2 linked regions of the Arabidopsis thaliana genome follow. The main gene of each other region encodes a partner of the protein of the gene in region 2 in a complex. Each region holds a gene or a part of one and is shown on either strand. Other genes may lie near its edges. A codon is read from its position in the direction of its gene.

The links. Proteins that work in one complex are often made in the same cells at the same time.
Region 1: the proteins of PARC6 (region 2) and PDV1 are in contact, whole or in part, in a crystal structure (PDB 6JZN), measured with the Arabidopsis thaliana proteins. Residues at the interface, in NP_188549.2 of Arabidopsis thaliana: Trp700 (codon at 5,525), Glu701 (codon at 5,528), Lys704 (codon at 5,537), Leu708 (codon at 5,549), Trp729 (codon at 5,719), Leu732 (codon at 5,728), Thr735 (codon at 5,737), Ala736 (codon at 5,740), Lys739 (codon at 5,749), Cys741 (codon at 5,755), Trp743 (codon at 5,761), Phe745 (codon at 5,767), Leu773 (codon at 5,851), Glu775 (codon at 5,857), Ala777 (codon at 5,863), Glu778 (codon at 5,866), Leu779 (codon at 5,869), Asp781 (codon at 5,875), Ala788 (codon at 5,896), Lys789 (codon at 5,899), Tyr790 (codon at 5,902), Ser792 (codon at 5,908), Tyr794 (codon at 6,000), Ile796 (codon at 6,006), Tyr798 (codon at 6,012), Ile815 (codon at 6,063), Ile817 (codon at 6,069); in NP_200140.1 of Arabidopsis thaliana: His264 (codon at 3,351), Leu265 (codon at 3,354), Asp266 (codon at 3,357), Val267 (codon at 3,360), Met268 (codon at 3,363), Met269 (codon at 3,366), Ala270 (codon at 3,369), Arg271 (codon at 3,372), Gly272 (codon at 3,375).

Annotation. Positions count from the first base shown.
Region 1 is NC_003076.8:21,605,701-21,609,930, forward strand, and holds PDV1 (plastid division1), read left to right. Parts: upstream 1-1,709; 5' UTR 1,710-1,885; coding exon 1,886-2,191; intron 2,192-2,867; coding exon 2,868-3,380; 3' UTR 3,381-3,728; downstream 3,729-4,230. Other genes in the region: AT5G53270 (Seed maturation protein), read right to left, coding at 571-1,050. UniProt on the Arabidopsis thaliana protein: Component of the plastid division machinery.
Region 2 is NC_003074.8:6,630,874-6,637,801, forward strand, and holds PARC6 (plastid division protein), read left to right. Parts: upstream 1-1,763; 5' UTR 1,764-1,936; coding exon 1,937-2,239; intron 2,240-2,538; coding exon 2,539-2,652; intron 2,653-2,729; coding exon 2,730-2,867; intron 2,868-2,942; coding exon 2,943-3,047; intron 3,048-3,138; coding exon 3,139-3,261; intron 3,262-3,471; coding exon 3,472-3,840; intron 3,841-3,942; coding exon 3,943-4,038; intron 4,039-4,182; coding exon 4,183-4,299; intron 4,300-4,707; coding exon 4,708-4,773; intron 4,774-4,858; coding exon 4,859-5,611; coding exon of another isoform or gene 5,612-5,674; exon of another isoform or gene 5,675-5,718; coding exon 5,719-5,909; intron 5,910-5,995; coding exon 5,996-6,080; 3' UTR 6,081-6,419; downstream 6,420-6,928. Other genes in the region: PREP1 (presequence protease 1), read right to left, coding at 275-449, 716-1,001; AT3G19184 (AP2/B3-like transcriptional factor family protein), read left to right, coding at 6,682-6,828, 6,908-6,928. UniProt on the Arabidopsis thaliana protein: Component of the plastid division machinery required for PDV1 localization to constriction sites. Involved in chloroplast division site placement. Required for the proper formation of FtsZ rings at the division site in nongreen plastids (e.g. etioplasts).

The sequences.
Region 1 (4,230 bases), on a different chromosome or scaffold from region 2:
TCCATGTTCTTTTTCTTTCCTTAGTTTAAATACGAAAACGGAATGTGGCGATAATAACGGTTCCGTACAGTTTCATTTGACACGTAGGCTTTTAACAGTGTAACGTGTCCATATTTAGCTGCTTGTGAGACAGTGACCCTTAAATGCATCGGCGAGACTATGTATTAAACATTTAGAGTAGCGTGGTGAGTTTAAGAAATATTGGAAGAAAGGACCTTTCATAACCCTTTTATGCAAATTTCCATATACTATTCTTTTTTTTTAAGGTATGTTGATCTCTTTTAACGACTTGCATGTTTTTGACGTTTGTCAAAACTCAAAAGTAATAAAATGGAGTTCCATGGTTGGATTTTGGGATTTAAATTTGTTCTTTAATGATTATTTATGCAACAAAATCTTATAGGCTTCCAATGCCTATATAAGGTGGATCAAAAACTGATCTCGGTAAAAAAGACAGTACAAAACTTCGGTTCGAAACTTCCTACTCTAAAAGAAAACAAAACAAAAAATACAAAAATCACGACCGTTATTATATACTTATTGTGATAAATATGTAAATTGCAATTGATATCAAAGAGATACATTGCATGGATTGCAATTAAGTTTATAAGCTGCAGTGACGGATTCAGCAACACCTCCAGGAATAATATTATTGAAAGGAGAATGATTCAGCTCAGCCCGAATCACTGCTTCTGCGTCTTCACTTGTCACTTCTCTATCTCTCGTTACTTTCACATCAATCTCCGCGATAACGTCGCCGAGATTTGTCTTCTCATTATCTTCTCCTATTTTTTGGTTACGAGCAACCGCTTTACTTGCTACAGCGGTTACACCACCATCGCTTTCTATATCACCTCCTATAGCCCTAGCTTCCACCTCTTTTATGGCAGCCAAGTCGGTGGTTTCTACCGGTTTACGGCCGACATTTATCGCCGCTGCTTTGAGTGCTTCTGTCAATGTCGTTGACCTCCCGACTAGCGCTTCAGCCGCCGTGGAAATTTGTTCTGTTGTGCCTGCATACTGTTTCAAAAGGCCGAACCCGAACATCATACGATATCAACATGGTCACGTAAAATATTTCAAGTTAAAAGTTTTTTTACATTTTATCACCGCGGTAGAAGTTATACAATTCCTACTATGAGCTAGCAATCGGTAAAACGGTAAATTAAAGGGAACACCAACAAAACGGTACAAAATCTTTACCAATCTATGTTTTACCGCACTTGCTTACTTCTTTTAACTGTTCTGTTATCGTAAACGATTTTTCTTTTAATCGTGGCTAATTTTTCATTTTAACCTATTACCTGACCACAAGTAGTAGATTGGGAGAGGCTAAAGTGCTCCTCTACAGAGATATTGTGAAACTAGCACCATCTTTTGATGAACCCATCGTTTTAGAGTTCTTTGATCTTCTTTCTCTGCTTTGCATTATCTAATACACTTTCTGTTTTGTGTAAATTGATAAATAAGTAAACGGAAGTGCCGACAAAAAAAAAGAAAAAAAAAAAAAAAAACGGAAGATGACAATAGTAACGGTTCCGTAACAATTTACATTTGACACGTCGGCTTTCAACAGTCCACGTGTACAATACTTGTCTACGTATGCCGTTATGCGACCGTGACTCTTCGATGCATAAGAGAGACCAATTACTTTTTGGGCCTCAGAAGCTTCGTAGAGCCCAAACATTCTACCAAGCTTTGAGACACGTGCATAGTCCGTGCCAGCTGTTTCTTGTTTTAGTATTTCCGGGTCGGGTTTCACCCGTATCCGGAAATCAAATTCATCGGAGCGCTTAATTTGAGTCCACAATTAAAGTGAGAATTTTCCTGAAGAAGAAGAACTTTTGCTTTTTTTCTGGGTTTGCTTTTTTGTTGTGTCAATGAAATGGGAGAAATGGAGATCGAAGAAATCGAAGCTGTTCTTGAGAAAATCTGGGATCTACATGACAAGCTTAGCGATGAGATTCACTTGATTTCGAAGTCTCACTTTCTCAAATCGGTTAAACCTTCAAATAGATCGGAGAAGAGAAAGAATCCTCACGGAAATTCCGGCGAAGATAAGCGACCTGGTTATGTTTTCATCAAAGGATTCGCCGTCGATGATAACGACTCCACGATTCAGGAGGCGAAGAGTCTTAACGCAATTCGAACCGCTCTTGAGAACCTTGAAGACCAGCTCGAGTTTTTCCATGTAAGTCTCGTGTTTCTCCGATTGATTTTGTGGTTTTCGCTTCCTTGATATGAAGCGAAATTGGGAGATTAGCTTGTTATCTCCTTTGTTTTGTGCTAATTTTTGAAGATTGTTAAGCAAATCCTTCTACTAGATGACTATTCAAGTCCGAAATAGGTTGTATCTGCTTCTGAAGAAAGTGACTCATGATTAAGCCGATTTGAGGCAATTTAGGGTAAAAATTGATTGAGGTGTGTTTAGTTAGGGTTTAGATTTACGAATTAGGAATTTAGGTTCTGAACTGGATAGTAATTATCAGATTCTTACGAAAATTCTGAGCAACAATTTTAGACAGAAAATCATCATACAATGTAGTTCTGAGAGCATTGTTTATTGCAAACTCTTTGATCATGGAATTAAAGCAGGGAGAGGAATCTAGATTCAGGTGTTGTATGTGCATGAAGAATGATATGGTCTTATTTAAGATCAGAAGAAGTAGAGATAGATAAGCAGAATCCATTTCGCAATACATTATAGACGCATGTGTTTTATCATTGCCATAGATAATAGACCAACGAAGAAGAATATACAAGCTATTTTGCATATACACTCATTGGTTCTGGTCAGTCGCATATGTCTCGTTTACTATCTGAACCTGAAAGACAAGATGTAAAACTTCTTTCTCTTTGCTCTGCAGACTATACATACACAGCAGCGAACAGAGAAAGATGTTGCGATTGCTCGGCTTGAACAGAGCAGGATATTACTAGCAATGAGATTAGCTGAACACCACGGCAAGAACTATGGAGTCCTAGAGGAAGCTCTTGCATTTGTTGGGAGCATTAAATCCAACTCGCATTACGTTTCACCTGATCACCTCTACGATTCCTCTCGAAACCCAGACGGAGCAAACTCTATTCCAGATGGAATAGAGTCAAACTTTGTAATCAACGCCTTTGCCTCGACTTTCGGGTTTGCCAAGAGAGCACTTGGATTCAACCATGTGAAAGGCGTACTTGGAAACGCTGCTATATTTGCCATAAGCGTGGTCGCTATGCTACATCTTCACCAAGTGGCTACTAGTGAACATCATCTGCAGAAGAAAGAAGACAGATTCTACAGAAGCCAACAAAGGAAAACATACGGAAGAGATAAGTCTTCAGCTGACAGAAGTTTGGATCACTTGGACGTAATGATGGCTCGTGGTTAAGACCAGAGATCGAACTTGTCTACACGTGAGAAAACTAAAGAAGAGAAGAGATAATTGTTGCTCTCATAGGTTTCGATATTATCAGCAAAAGGATAAGAATTTGGAGGCAAAGTGTTGGAATTTTCTGAGCTCGTCTGATGCAAATATTGTTCCTTTCTTCTAATTTTGATTTTCAAACACTGTGGTTAATGTTTTGTTTGTTTTGTTTGGTTTTGTTGATTTCAAATGTGGTTAGGCTTTCTTGTAAATCACAAGATCTCTCGGCTATTCTTTAGTAGCAACTGGCAAATTCAGATTGATGAATGTATTGGGCCACTATCAGCCCATTCGCACCCCAGAACTATCCAGCCTTAGTTTGCTCAATCTTAGGCCCTTTTACTTTTGATGACAAATCACTCTAAACCGTAATAATTTGGTCCGGAAACAATATACAAAATACAGTACGAATACTGAAGAGGTTTATCGTCTAGTTTTTGTTATTCAAATTGAAGAAAGATAACGTTTTCTCGAAATTTTATGAGTTATATGACTTGTATACGTAGTTTAATATCAACTTTTTTTTATTCTTTCTTTGTTTCTACAAAGCCTGAATATCTATAAAGTATAAGGGTGTCAAAGCGGGAGAGTTTGTCCGGTGTATGTGAATTGTGATGTGAACAAAGCAAAGACAAGTGGGAGGACAAGTTATCAAGATGATAAAGGGGAAACTACAATGAGTCCAAATTGGTAGAATGAAGGAAACATGAATGTGAATATTACAAAATACTTTTCCTTAAGATCTGTTTTGTCTCTCTTTTTCTTTTGCTTTTGTACACATAGCTTTTTCTCTACACACTCTTAACGTTATAAA
Region 2 (6,928 bases):
GCAGTTGCTCATATCGACTTTTAACAAAGCGTTAAGTAATTTGACAAGTTGTAACCTCCAAAACTTAGACCACTTTACAAGTACCAATATATTAGAAGAAGAAACGAAATGACTAGGTCTAATCAGAAAAAAAAAGCTTTGATGAGTAGAGATAAACTTGACCATTTCAATTAGTTAAATTCAAGGAGTGAAGCTTTAGGTACCAATTTCAATTGCCTAATACATACTCAGGTCAAATTTACAGAGAGTAAAAATTATTATGAAGTAAACTTACGGAGGAGTTCTGAAAACAACACCGAAGACCTTGTTCTCATCCTCATTTGACACAGACATCACCTCGCAACCAGTTTTCTTGTGTTTGAAGAGTATCGCCTTTGATTTACACTCTGAGATGAATTCTTCCGACACTTTTTCAAATCCAAGCTTCTCAGCCTCATCTTGACCTACATCTGAATCCAAACAACCAAAAATAAGGAAAATCACGCATCAGCAGAGGTTACACATGGCTCCATTTGATTACAAAGTAGACACAAAGCATGAGATGAAAAATGCACCACACGGACCACACCTATCTACAATTCACAACCTATCCTAAAGTAAGAACCACAATTTCACAAGTGCCACAAATCAACATGTCCGAATTAAGAGAACAAATCAATTAGCAATTAAACTTCAAACAGATTGAAAAAAAGAAGTATATGTGAAAAATTCCAACCAGGATAAAGTGGAGCGGGTTGTGTGGCGACGGCGCGAACAGAGAGGCGAGAGAACTGCCCATTGACACTGCGAACTGCGGCGGAGGGAATCCTCAAACCTCGTCGGAGCAAAAGACGTCTACCGGCGACTGAGGGAGAGGAAATTCGGCGAAGATTGCGACTGGGGACACGGAGAGCTGCCGTCGACGATGTGAGAGACATGTAAGAGCGAGGGAACTGACGAAAGAAGCGAAAGAATAGAGAGGACGAGCTGCGCGAAGCTAAACAAGAGACGGTTCGGAGCATAGCTACCGGAAAAAAAATATTCCCGGCGGAGACTGCTACTGACGGAGACGAAATTAAGGATATTGCAAAGAAGCTAAATAAACCCAACGGCAAGAGGTTTTATCCTTGTGTAGTTGTGTGTTTTTGCTTGTAGAGGAAAAAAGTAAAATAAAATAAAATGAAATACCTCATTTCTTGTACAACACACAAAATTATTGTGAAAAATATTCTCTATTTTACTAAATTGGCATTTTATTTTTCTGAATTTTTAAGTCGGGACAAAAAAGAGGTGCTGATTTGCAAGAAAGGAAACGTGGTTCTCATATAGCCAAATGTGTTTGAGTGTTGCAATTTGCTATCCTCCAAAAATATAATGACTACAAAATATCTTAAATCTTTTTTCATGATATTAAACTTAAGTGAAAGTATTACAAAATCTGATCAAGTTAAAAGTTTACACCAGACATATACTTTCCAGGTATTTGATTCAGAAAAAATCATATTGATCAGATTTAAACAAATTTTAAATTATATATAAGTTTTTTCTTACACACAAATTAAACCTTTGATCAGTACTAGACTACTGGTAGCATGCGATGAGCTTGCAGTAGTTTCTCTCGCACATTAGTTATGGGCCGAGAGCTAGGCCCATGTCCAGGGACGGATAAAATAATCTTCCAGATGTTTCTTTATTATCCACGTGGCGTGATCACGTGACCACGTCTCGTCTCGTCTAGTCCTAGATTAGCAGAGCCTCTCTTTCGGCCAGCGGGTTACCTTATTATCGTCACAAGACGAAACTTTCAGAAAAAGGCAAAAATCACTGTCAAAACTCAAAAGCCTTGAGACCAAATTTCCGATTTTTTCTCCTCTGAAGAAATCCAACAAATTGTACCATGATTCCAGCTTCACTCTACTTCTTCTAGGGTTCGTTCGTTTTCTGGAGCTGTTGCGCAATGCCAGTAGCTTACACATTTCCAGTTCTCCCTTCTTCTTGTCTGCTTTGCGGAATCTCCAATCGCAGCACCAGCTTCGTCGTAGATCGCCCGGAGCTTCAGATCTCAGGTCTCCTCGTCGTTCGTTCTGAATCCGGTGAATTCTTCGGTTCTGGTTTATCTTTGCGGCGGTTTCAGCGAGAAGGACGGAGGAGGTTGAATGCTGCTGGTGGTGGTATCCATGTCGTCGACAATGCGCCGTCTCGTACTTCTTCTCTCGCTGCATCTACCTCTACAATCGAACTCCCGGTTACGTGTTACCAGGTATTTTGCTCCGACTGACTTACTTTTCGGAATCTCTGTAGATACTACTATCTCTCGCGATTTGCTACTTAGCTCCTCGTTGAAGTGCAAGTGGAACTTGTTTTTATCCTTCTAAATTTTGTTGAAATAGAAACATTTTCCTCCAATTTGTAGTCTCTAGCGCGTAGAACGAGATGGATGTATTGATTTGGCAATTTAATATTGTATCATAGTTCATTTCTGCAATAGAGTGTAAAGAATGTAGCGTTTCGTTTGTTAGACATTATTCCAGGATACTGTTAATTGTATTGATTTTGCAGCTTATCGGAGTTTCTGAGCAAGCTGAGAAAGACGAGGTCGTTAAGTCGGTTATAAATTTGAAAAAAACTGATGCTGAAGAGGGTTATACAATGGAAGCTGCTGCAGCTCGCCAGGTTAAGACCTATAGTATCACTAGAGTTGGACAGGGAATGTGGCTTCAGTTTCTTGATACTTTGTTCTTAATGTGTAGGATCTTCTCATGGATGTTAGGGATAAACTTCTTTTTGAATCAGAATATGCTGGTAACCTAAAAGAAAAGATTGCTCCTAAATCTCCTCTCAGAATTCCGTGGGCATGGTTGCCTGGTGCTCTATGCCTTCTTCAAGAGGTACTACTTCTGACCTTTTATTGCGTTTTATCCCTGCAAATGTTTTGTACTGATCTTTCTGCTACTATGCTTCAGGTTGGACAAGAAAAACTTGTGCTGGATATTGGCCGGGCTGCTCTCAGGAACCTTGATTCAAAGCCATATATTCATGATATATTCTTATCTATGGCACTTGCTGAGGTAAAATCAAATGAACTAAGAATGGGAACTAGTTATCTACTTTCACTATCCTCTGCTTCTTCTATCTCTAATATGTTTGTTTTCCATTTAGTGTGCAATTGCCAAGGCTGCTTTCGAGGTTAACAAGGTCTCTCAAGGATTTGAAGCTCTTGCTCGTGCTCAAAGTTTTCTGAAGAGTAAAGTTACTCTTGGGAAACTTGCATTGTTAACTCAGGTAACAGGTTCTACTGTCTTGCATTAGTATATATAAAGCTTCTCTGAGTTTACTTTTAGCCCTGTTACTGGCTTGAATTATTAAAAGTGCATGATCATGCCTTACTGTAAATCGCATCATGTTTAGGAGCTTCACATATAAGTACGTATTGTCCAAAAGCATAATTTACCAGCATATTGGGTTTTAAGGGGTTAAAATTGATATTTATAGATTGAGGAGTCACTAGAGGAGCTTGCACCACCTTGCACATTGGATCTACTGGGCCTGCCACGCACGCCAGAAAATGCAGAGAGGAGGCGAGGTGCAATTGCCGCGCTACGCGAACTGCTCAGACAGGGCCTTAGTGTTGAAGCTTCATGTCAAATTCAAGACTGGCCATGCTTTTTGAGCCAGGCAATTAGCAGGTTATTGGCCACAGAGATTGTCGATCTTCTTCCATGGGATGATTTAGCCATTACACGGAAAAATAAAAAATCACTGGAATCCCACAATCAAAGAGTTGTTATTGATTTTAATTGTTTCTACATGGTGTTACTTGGTCACATCGCTGTTGGATTTTCAGGCAAGCAAAATGAAACGGTATATCTCGTTTTCTTTCCTTTTGTTAAATTTAGACTGATTGGTCCATTTCTTCTCTACTCTATCTGCTTATAAAGCATAACATTCAGTATGCTTGTGTAGATTAATAAAGCAAAAACGATATGCGAATGTCTCATAGCATCAGAAGGTGTTGATCTGAAATTTGAGGAAGCTTTTTGCTCATTTCTTCTAAAACAGGTATTTTTCCTCTTGCTTTCTTTATTCTTTTTCCCTATCAACTATGCTTGTGCATCTTATTTACTTCAAGTTCACTTGCTTCGAAAGATCCTTGCGTTGTTCATTTAGTTAAGTGCTACTGGACCTACATGTTGGATAGCACAGGGTTCCGAGGCAGAGGCCCTGGAAAAACTTAAGCAGCTGGAATCAAATTCAGACTCTGCCGTTCGTAATTCGATCTTGGGGAAAGAGTCGAGAAGTACTTCTGCTACTCCCTCACTGGTAAACCTTATGATTTTTACCAAGAATATGTGTTCATTTGTTGCTACGACTAGAGCGAGGGCTATGCCTGATGTAAATGGCATGATCAACTCTAGTGGAGTATGAATAAGTTTGAGCTATGTTTCAGGCTGTAATTGAAACAATGGAAATAGATACATTTAGTGGATGGTAGTTAAATTCATAGAATATGCTTTAACAGCATTGTGTATGCCTGCCGTTAACATTTTCTTTTTCGATTGGTTGTACATACACATAAATCTTAATATTTGTTTGAGTAAGCCCTTGGGTTCATGCACTAAATTTAATTTGGAAATTTTGCAAGTATGTACATCTCTTCGCTAGCTCTGATTTTTTTTCATAGAAAGATTGATAGCGACCTTCATACATGCTACCTATAAAATTGACCAGGAAGCGTGGCTAATGGAGTCCGTGCTTGCTAACTTTCCAGACACAAGGGGTTGTTCTCCATCTTTGGTAAGAATCAGATCACTACTGGAAGATTCTGTATAGCAGTTCTATTTTTATGCAGAAAGATAATCATATATACAACTTTCTGCAGGCCAATTTTTTCCGGGCTGAAAAGAAATATCCAGAAAACAAGAAAATGGGGTCACCTTCGATCATGAATCATAAGACGAACCAAAGACCACTTTCCACAACACAGTTCGTGAACTCGTCACAACATCTTTATACAGCTGTCGAGCAGTTGACACCAACAGATTTGCAGAGCCCAGTGGTATCAGCCAAGAATAATGATGAAACCAGTGCCAGTATGCCATCTGTTCAACTGAAGAGGAACCTTGGTGTACACAAAAATAAAATATGGGATGAGTGGCTCTCTCAAAGCAGTTTGATCGGAAGGGTATCTGTTGTTGCTTTACTGGGTTGCACCGTGTTCTTCTCTCTGAAGCTATCAGGCATTAGGTCTGGTAGACTACAGAGTATGCCTATATCGGTTTCTGCTAGGCCGCATTCAGAATCAGATTCTTTTCTGTGGAAAACAGAGTCTGGGAATTTCAGAAAAAACCTTGATTCTGTGAATAGAAATGGTATCGTGGGAAACATCAAAGTGCTCATTGACATGTTAAAGATGCATTGTGGCGAACATCCGGATGCCCTGTATCTGAAAAGCTCTGGTCAATCAGCTACATCATTGTCTCATTCTGCGTCAGAACTGCATAAGAGACCAATGGATACAGAAGAAGCGGAAGAGCTTGTGAGACAGTGGGAAAATGTTAAGGCTGAAGCTCTTGGACCAACACATCAAGTTTATAGCCTTTCCGAAGTCCTTGATGAATCCATGCTTGTCCAGGTTACTGTTTCTATACATCTCCTATTATTCCTTTACTTAATTATGTTAGTTTACTACAGTTGAACATCAATGTTTAGGTAGAGTCAATATTTCTTTGTTTAATGCAGTGGCAAACATTGGCACAAACAGCAGAGGCGAAATCCTGTTATTGGAGGTTCGTTCTGCTTCATCTTGAGGTTTTGCAAGCACATATATTCGAAGATGGTATTGCTGGTGAGGCTGCAGAAATCGAAGCTCTTCTGGAGGAAGCAGCAGAATTAGTTGATGAATCTCAGCCCAAAAACGCAAAATATTATAGGTAAAAAAAAACATTTCGCTTTCGGGTTACTTTTGGACTGAGCTGGTATCTTCTTCACTGATGCAGCCTTTGTAAATTTCTTGTAGCACTTACAAGATCCGATATATTCTGAAGAAGCAAGAAGATGGATTGTGGAAATTCTGCCAAAGCGATATTCAAATACAGAAGTGAAAATCCCCCAGAAAAAAAAGCTCATCATCTAACTAAAGGTTGTAGCATCAACAGTAGAACATGGGATCATTTAGCTAACGGTTGTTCTTGTTTACCTAACGGTGTAGGAAAGTCTCAGGTTTGTTTCTTTATTCCTTAGTAACCCACAGGATTTGTCTTTGTAGATTCTTTTGATTTCAATGTGTTTATGGATAAACAAACTTCTTGAGTATTTTTTTTATTATTATTGTAAAGCGTTACTGATCAAATCAAATGTTTTCTTAAAATAGTTAAAAATATTAAGGGATCTCAAAATAATTGTTAATTATGGAGGGAAAAAAAAGAAACGTCTTTTAAGAAGCCCATACCTGCTTCACGTATCACGATGGAGGCTTACTCAGACCTTCCACTGTTGAGAATTTGAAATTTCAATTTGTTTGATTAGACACAATGATTAAGATTTTTATTACATAAAAAGAAAAAAAAAATTGGAGAAGTATAAACACATACATAGCGGTGAAAGAAGAAACCCAACGGTCACTCAAAAGCGCATTGAAGAGTCAAGCAAGACTTGGATCTGTCTCTTTCGTTTCTCTATCTCTGTTTCGGATTCCTAAGAGAAATGGTGGAATCGGAGCTAAGCTATGAACAGATTCGTTTGAATAGGGTGGAAGAGAACAAGAAGAGAATGGGGGAGCTTAATCTCAACAAGCTTGCTCAATCTCTTCGTGTCTCTTCTTCTTCTTCTTCTTCTTCCAAGCCCTCACCAGTAACGTTTCCTTTCTCTTCTCTTCTCATTTCTTCTTTTCTTTTTCTGAAATTAACCAATTTTTTTTATGGAAATGTAGGCAAAGCCAAGAACGATGCGT